2 linked regions of the Coturnix japonica genome follow. Each later gene encodes a partner of the first gene's protein in a complex. Links are inferred from orthologs where the notes say so. Each region holds a gene or a part of one and is shown on either strand. Other genes may lie near its edges. The genes, in order: RAB11FIP2 and RAB25.

Region 1 (3,813 bases):
TTAGGCCTTAAAGAGCTCGCGCTGCCCTTTCAACTGGCTACTGCTCCCACTTAAGCAGTGCTGTCAGAGACAGGTGTTGGCACCAGAGCAGGAGACACACAAACATAATTACTCAATGCGATGCGCAAGGAAGAAATGCAATAAATTGGTGAGGGTTATTACAGCAGAACCCAATAATAAATTACCTCAAACACCTCAGAAAGCAATCTGGAATATTTAAAAATATATATATTCAAATGGTTTCATTCAAAACTATGGTTGTGATGTAGTTTCTTCTCCTAATTTTATTTTGTATTAAATGAGCACCACATCATAATCCTGCGGCTGACATTTAGAATAGCTGCTGTTCCGAAAGAAAAATCATCAAGGATTTCTTTTATCACCTTTAAATCCTTTAAATAAAACAATTCACATATTATTTCTTAAAAAGAATCATAACGGCGCTTTTACCAGCAATAAATTACACAATTTCCAGTAGCACATTTGCAAGCACATAGAAACTGTAATTACGGCCACTTTACAGACAATAGCTGCAAAGTTAAATCAATTTTTTTTTTGATGTGTTTTGTCAGAGATTAAGTAACCGCCTGGTAGAATTCAGTTTACTATCTGATCAAAGGCAGCATTCATATACGCTGACATCTCCCACCAGTTACTTGCATTAAAAAAATCTTGGGTGTTTATAAAAACATCAAATATCATTAAAGGACATTTACATAAACCAGCCAAAAGCAAATAGTACAAAGTCATATTTCCCTGTGAAACTTGTTTTCTATATATTGTAAAGATTGAAAACAAACCCACTCTTAAAGATTTGATCTATTCACAGAATAAATTTGAGCAAAACCACATTTTTCTTCCAAAGATGCTGCACAGACCATCTGTGGAGTTTGTTTTGTCTTTTCTTCCTAGTACACATTTTTAGCTACTCTGACAGTAAAAGAGTATTTTGAATAATAACTTTTAGTATTAATTTCTATTTTAAGTGTTTCTGCAAGGCTGCTCATTTATTATTTTTGTTATGAATCTCACCACGTATCAGCTCATTACTTTCATTTGGATGAACCAGCTAAAAATGGTCCTCCAGTCTCAGAGCCTGGTGAAAGGAAACACCTGTTATGATGGCTAATGGAACCCGCCTAGTGCAGGGCTCTCACCTGACTGCATTTCTCTAGAGCTATCCATCATACCCCAGTGTTTCTTATTTCTCTCCCTGTACAGATCTAATTTTCCCTTTCTTTTCTACATTGTAATACTAGAGGTTATCCAAATATTTTACACATTAAGCATAAAACTCTTCTTTATTTCCAAGTTCATTTCAGTTTTCTTATTTTCCAATTAGATTTTCTGGAAGGCAATAGGCGATAGAAGGCAAGACAAAAATCATAGACTCATAGACTGGGTTGGGTTGTAAGGGACCCTCTAGGCTCATCAAGCTCCAACCCTTCTGCCACAGGCAGGGCTGCCAACCTCCGTATCTAAAACTAGACCTGGCTTCATCCAACCTGGCCTTGAACACCTCCAGGGACAAAACAAACAAGCAACAAGCATTTCCTTATAAGAAATTAAAAAAGAATAGTAGCTCATATTGTATTGGGCACCAGCTAGTTTGTATTTGCTGACAGCTTTTCATAACACTCCACAACTTACCATTGTTTTCCTGAGGTCCTCAGTGCCAGAAGGATTCACGTTAAAACTGTGGAGGAAAAACAAACTAACATCAACTGTGTACACTTATTTGGCCAAAACTTCTACTAGAAATTACTACTGAACTCAGAGTACTGGCTGCACAAGGTAATTATTACCATTTATTTTCTTGACTTGTCAAACTTAGAATAACTAGGACAACCCTTGAAATTCATACAAACTTTCATATTTGTGTGAATATGTGAATATCTCTATTCACAATTTTTGATATCATTCTAATATATGTTCACAGTAAGCAGTACAAAGATATTACAGATTGGTCTAACCCTAGCAATGCTGCCATGGCTCACATAGTTGCTATAGCAAGTTTTGAGAGAAAACTGAGTCTTAGAGAAAGTGTGCTCAGAATTTGGGTATGACTCACTAATAGTAATTCCTCAGTAGCACCTTAGTAGGCATCTTTCTTTCACATCACAAAAACTACCATGTACTCAGGTTGCATGTATTGGCTGTCAAGGGTGGCATCTGTTGACAGAGCTTCAAGAAAACACATCTCTGGGTCTGGCTGCACCCAAACTGGTAACAAGCTCCTGCAAATGCTATGACAGGCAGTCAGAAGCTCATTTCTTTCCTATTTTTCAGGCTAGAGAATCTCTATGGCCTAAAACTAATGTTTAATTCCACAGTCAAGAAGCTGATACATGAATAAAGACAAATTAGTAAAAAACAAAAAAAACAAAAACAAACAAAAAAAAACCCTGCAATCTATGGTTGAAAAAATAATTTGGAAAGTACAAATTGTACACTTTTAATTTTAAAGGTAGCTTGAAGTAAAAAGCACGTGTCTTGTGCCCATCACTCTTTGATATCTGAAATTATAAGCCATATATTTCATGGCGTAAAAATGGAAGAGATGCAGCATACAAACCGATGTTTTACTATGTCCTTTTATTTCATTTCAAAAATAGTCTTTCCTTCATATATAGTAGTTCAGAGAACCATCTGCTAGACTGAAGATATTAGAGGAAGATTGGATTACAGTCACAACCAGAAGTAAAAAGGCGTCTGGAGAATCGAGGTCTGGCTAACCCCCATTGTACCTGTTTGTAACAGCGATCTGAAGCACTCTGCCTGGAGTTTGCTGGAGAATAGTTTTGAATGATGGGCTGCATTCATCGGGTATTGTCTAAAAAGCAAAAAGGCAGGAACCCTCCCTCATGGTCTGCATTTTAGTTTCACACTGATGTGTCAAACACATGATGAACTTGCTTCATTCATGGCTGCCTTTTGTGATCCCAGGGAAAAAAAAAAAAAAAAAAAGAGTTAACTGAACTGGATCAAATTAGCTTGGTGAAAACCAAGAATGTCTCTATTTAATGAAGTGTGGCGTTAATTTGGGATATCTTTCTTTTGGGACTGTTTCCTCATGTTAGACAAGATATGGAATAATACAGCCTGACTGCTCAACTAAGCGAGCTTCTGAAAGGTTAAAAAAGCAAAATCTTTCATTGCGCTGAATGACTTTCTGTGCAATAAGTTCTGGGACTCCCTTACACAGCAGCTGCTTAAAAGGAACAGTTCTGCCTATGAAAAGTTATGCTTCAAAATTAGAAATATAAATCACTGGCAATATGGATTAATCTTTTATTTTCATCTAAAAACTCAGCAGTCACTTCTGTAACACTACGAGTGCAATTACAAAAGAGCACATCTGTGTGTTTCACATGAAGTAATCTGAATATCCTTACAAAAAAAAAAAAATAATGCTAAAAAAACCAACAACAAAAAAACTTATTAAACAGAATATTCACCAATAAAACCCCAACCCTACGAATACTCATATTTTAGAGAGATATGAAGAAATATACTGCTTCTCAGTGAGGCAGGAAGAAACAGGTGCTGGGATTGCATGCAGCATGTTTAAGTCAGCCTGTCCAACCAACCAACGTGGGAGCTCCGCAGCCCCACCGAGCCTTGCAGGGTTTCCTGCCAGCTCCTCCAGCCCGAGGTGAACGTGAGCCGTTGCAGACTCTCCCAGCTGCACCCATAACTCACTGTCCAAGAGCCCTGTAATGCCTTGAAAGAGCATACTGTAAAATTATGAATGCATGCAGTTGGGGGAGTTGCAGATACTGTGTATTGAAATTAATGACAGTAGAGTTTGTT
Region 2 (3,913 bases), on another chromosome or scaffold:
GAGGCGCCGTCGGCGATGACGATCTCCTCCTTGTCCTTGGGGGTCTTCACCGTGACGCGGATGAGCGCCCCGCCGGGACCTCCCAGCTCCGACCCGCCGGGGCCCGGCCCGCCGCCGCCACTCGGCTCCGCCATCTTCGCCGCCCGCCCCGCCAGCCCTGGCCGACAGAGAAAGGCCGGGACAGAGCGCCGCCACGGCCCGCGCCGCAGCACAGCGCCCCCTGGCGGCGGGGAGGATCGAGAGGCGACGGAACCGGAACCGGAACGGAGCGCGGAACCGCCCCGAACGGAACCGAACGGCAGCAAACACCGAACGGGGGCGGCCTACACCGGGAACGGGCCCCGCGCCCCGCGCTGCCTGCCATGCTGCGGCCCAAAGCGCTGACGCAGGTGCTGAGCCAGGCCAACACCGGCGGCGTCCAGAGCACGTTGTGAGCGGGGACGGGGCCGGGGGCGGTGCGACCGTACGGTCATTGCGGTGTGATGTGACCGTACCGTCACGGCGGGGCTCGGCCCGGAGCTGACCGTTCCCCGCTCCGTTGCAGGCTGCTGAACAATGAGGGCTCGCTCTTGGCCTACTCGGGATACGGAGACACGGACGCCCGCGTGACCGCGGCCATCGCCAGCAACATCTGGGTGGCCTACGACAAGAACGGGCACCACGCGTTCAACGAGGACAACCTGCGCTTCATCCTCATGGACTGCATGGTACGGAACGGCTGCGGGACCCCACGGGATCCATGCGGGACCCCCGGTGTGCGGGACCCACAGCAGCACCCACAGTGGGATCCGAGGTGTTCAGCAGCAGCTTCTGTGTGGGAGCCCAAGGGGTCCGTGTGAACCCCATAAATCTCAATGTGACCCCATAAATCTCAGTGTGACCCCATAAATCCCAATGTGACCCCATAAATCTCAGTGTGACCCCATAAATCTCAGTGTGACCCCATAAATCTCAGTGTGACCCCATAAATCCCAATGTGACCCCATAAATCTCAATGTGACCCCATAAATCCCACTGTGACCCCATAAATCCCACTGTGACCCCATAAATCCCGCTGTGACCCCCTGAATCTCCGTGTGACCCCGGTTCTCTCCGGCAGGAGGGGCGCGTGGCCATCACCCGCGTGGCGAACCTCCTGCTGTGCATGTACGCCAAGGAGACGGTGGGATTTGGGATGCTGAAAGCCAAGGTGAGGGGATGGGGGTGAGGGGATGGGGGTGAGGGGGTGGGGGGCTGCATTACGGTGAGGTGTGAAAGAGCCACGGGGTTAAAGCCGGGAGGAAGAGGATGGGAGAGATGGGGGAGGAATTGCAATCAAAATGGGAACTGTCTGCGTGGGTCCCAGATTGGTGCTGGGGTGGGACGGGGGTTTGCCCACAGAATGTGGGCGCTGGGGGCTGCACCCCTCACCACCATCCCTGCCCCAGGCACAGGCGCTGGTGCAATACCTGGAGGAGCCGCTGACGCAGGTGGCCGCATCCTGAGCTGCATCTGAGCTGCATCCTGAGCATGGAACCGCGCTGCCACGGCTGAGAGCAGCGCCTGCACGGGGGGAACCGTGTTGTGAGCCCGGCTGTGCTGCTGGGCAGCAGGGGAGGGGAAATAAAGCCACGTGTGGTGCTCGTGTCCTGAGTGTCTGTCAGATCAGTGCAGGGTGGAAGGGTGGGACGGGGTCAGCCGTGCACCCAGCCAGGGGTCTGTGGTGCAGCTGGGAGCGTTGTGCTGTCCCTGCTGGGGCTGCTTCCCCCACGTTCCCATCTCTCTGTGCTGGCAGCAGAGGTGCAGGCGGCCGTTGGTGCCCGGCCAGCTCCATGCTGAGCCCAGGGCCCCAGTGCCCCAGGCTGCCCCGCGCCGCGTGGCCTTGGCAGCCAGGACCGGGCCCGGCTCCTCCTCCAGGTGCCCCGTGACGGTTCCAGGGGTGACATTACCTGCCCAACCTGCGCTGCCGCTCCCAGCCTGCACTCAGCCGCCCTGGGCCTCCCTGCGCCGCCCGCGTCGCCTTCACTCCCCGACCGCGCTCCCTCCTGGGACCCCCCTCACTGCTGGGACCCCCCTCACACCCCGACACAGAGGAGACTTTGCCCCCCTCACCACCCCCTGCAGCCCGCCCCGCTCTGAGCTCTGCGGAGGGAAGGAGGAAACCGGGCGGCAGCCGGGAGATATGAGCAGCACTGAGGACGACTACAACTTTGTTTTTAAAGGTGAGGGGGGCCCAGAAGGACGGGATGGGACGACGGGGGGGCCCTGGCTGCACAGTGCCCTCCCCAGGCTGTGGGTTCCCAAAGCAGGACAGGGCTGGGGCTGTGCCTGCAGCCAACACTGCAGAGGGTCCTCCTCCTTTTTCTTCCTTTTCTGTAAGGCTTTTCTGTAATGTCCCCATGGCACTGGGGACATCCCAGTGCTGCAATGCCACAGCGGTGGGATGCCATTGGGTCTGGTTGAGGCAATGAAGGGTTATCTAAGCTGATCTGAAGTCCAATGGGATCCCTCTGCCCCCCTCAGTGGTTCTGATTGGGGAGTCCGGCGTGGGCAAAACCAACCTGCTGTCCCGCTTCACCCGCAATGAGTTCAACCACGACAGCCGCACCACCATCGGCGTGGAGTTCTCCACCCGCACCGTCCTGGTGGGAGACGCCGTGGTGAAGGCACAGATCTGGGACACGGCCGGGCTGGAGCGGTACCGAGCCATCACCTCTGCGTAAGGATGGATGGCACCCGAGGGTGTCCCTGGATAGATGGGTGCCCTATGGATGGATGAATGCCCTATGGATGGATGTCCCATTGCGTGCCCCATGGATGGATGCCCTGTGCTCACATCCCTGTGGGGATGCTCCAGGGCTGCCTGGAGCACGGGGCGATGACAGGCTGCTCCCCCAGGTACTACCGTGGGGCTGTGGGTGCTCTGGTTGTCTTTGACATCACCAAGCACCAGACGTACGACGTGGTGGAGCGCTGGCTGAAGGAGCTCTATGACCACGCCGAGGCCAGCATCGTGGTCATGCTGGTGGGCAACAAGAGCGACCTGGCGCAGGCACGGGAGGTGCCCACGGAGGAGGCCAAGATGTTTGCAGGTACAGCGTTGTGCCACCCCAACGTGGGGACCCCGGTGGGAGCCCAGCGGGGTCTGCAGGGTCCTGGGGTCTGCTGTCCTTGCAGAGAACAACGGGCTGCTCTTCATTGAGACGTCGGCGCTGGACTCCACCAACGTCGAGCAGGCGTTTGAGACCGTCCTGAAGGGTGGGTGCTGGCTGTGGGTCCTCGCTGGGCTGTGGGGCAGGGGATGCTCCACGCCTCTCCCCCGCCCTGCCCCACCTGAGTTTCGCTGTTGTCTTTCTGGCTGGTTGGGTTTCCGGCGCTTTGTGCTGGGCGTTCCGCTCTGGTTTCATTGCTGGGGCCTCAGGCGGCCCCACAGGTGCCTTCATCCCCTGTAATCCATGGTCCCGGTCCGGATGCTCCTGACTCAGTGTGTCCAGCTCATTGCAGAGCAACCCACAGGGACGTGGGGCAGAGAGGGGCAATGCTCAGCCGGGAGCATCTCCCCAGGAATGGATGTGTAGGGCAGGGGCACCGCAGGGAGTGCTGTGCTGAGCCGTGCTGTGCTGAGCCGTGCTGTGCTGTGCTATGCCATGCTGTGCTGTACAGTGCCATGCTGTGCTGTGCTGTACCATACTGTGCTGTACGGTGCCATGCTGTGCCGTGCTGTGCCATACTGTGCTGTACAGTGCCGTGCTGTGCTGTACAGTGCCGTGCTGTGCCGTGCTGTGCCATACTGTGCTGTATAGTGCCATGCTGTGCTGTGCTATGCCATACTGTGCTGTACAGTGCCGTGCTGTACCATACTGTGCTGTACGGTGCCATGCTGTGCCGTGCTGTGCCATACTGTGCTGTACAGTGCCGTGCTGTGCCGTTGGCT

The links.
Region 2: the proteins of RAB11FIP2 (region 1) and RAB25 are in contact, whole or in part, in a crystal structure (PDB 3TSO), measured with the Homo sapiens proteins. The link is inferred for Coturnix japonica from reciprocal best matches to the Homo sapiens genes RAB11FIP2 and RAB25. Residues at the interface, in NP_055719.1 of Homo sapiens: Arg475, Glu478, Ile481, Asp482, Asn483, Leu485, Val486, Met489, Pro493, Ser494, Leu496, Arg497, Val498, Pro499; in NP_065120.2 of Homo sapiens: Arg34, Ile45, Gly46, Val47, Glu48, Phe49, Ser50, Thr51, Lys62, Trp66, Arg73, Arg75, Ala76, Ile77, Ala80, Tyr81.

Annotation. Positions count from the first base shown.
Region 1 is NC_029521.1:26,280,212-26,284,024, forward strand, and holds part of RAB11FIP2 (rab11 family-interacting protein 2), read right to left. Parts: intron 2,834-3,813; coding exon 2,748-2,833; intron 2,247-2,747; coding exon 2,132-2,246; intron 1,697-2,131; coding exon 1,651-1,696; intron 1-1,650. UniProt on the Homo sapiens protein: A Rab11 effector binding preferentially phosphatidylinositol 3,4,5-trisphosphate (PtdInsP3) and phosphatidic acid (PA) and acting in the regulation of the transport of vesicles from the endosomal recycling compartment (ERC) to the plasma membrane.
Region 2 is NC_029540.1:80,603-84,515, forward strand, and holds the start of RAB25 (ras-related protein Rab-25), read left to right. Parts: upstream 1-1,722; 5' UTR 1,723-2,161; coding exon 2,162-2,201; intron 2,202-2,502; coding exon 2,503-2,698; intron 2,699-2,877; coding exon 2,878-3,071; intron 3,072-3,156; coding exon 3,157-3,237; intron 3,238-3,913. Other genes in the region: UBQLN4 (ubiquilin-4), read right to left, coding at 1-134; ragulator complex protein LAMTOR2, read left to right, coding at 363-430, 545-707, 1,100-1,189, 1,428-1,484. UniProt on the Homo sapiens protein: The small GTPases Rab are key regulators of intracellular membrane trafficking, from the formation of transport vesicles to their fusion with membranes.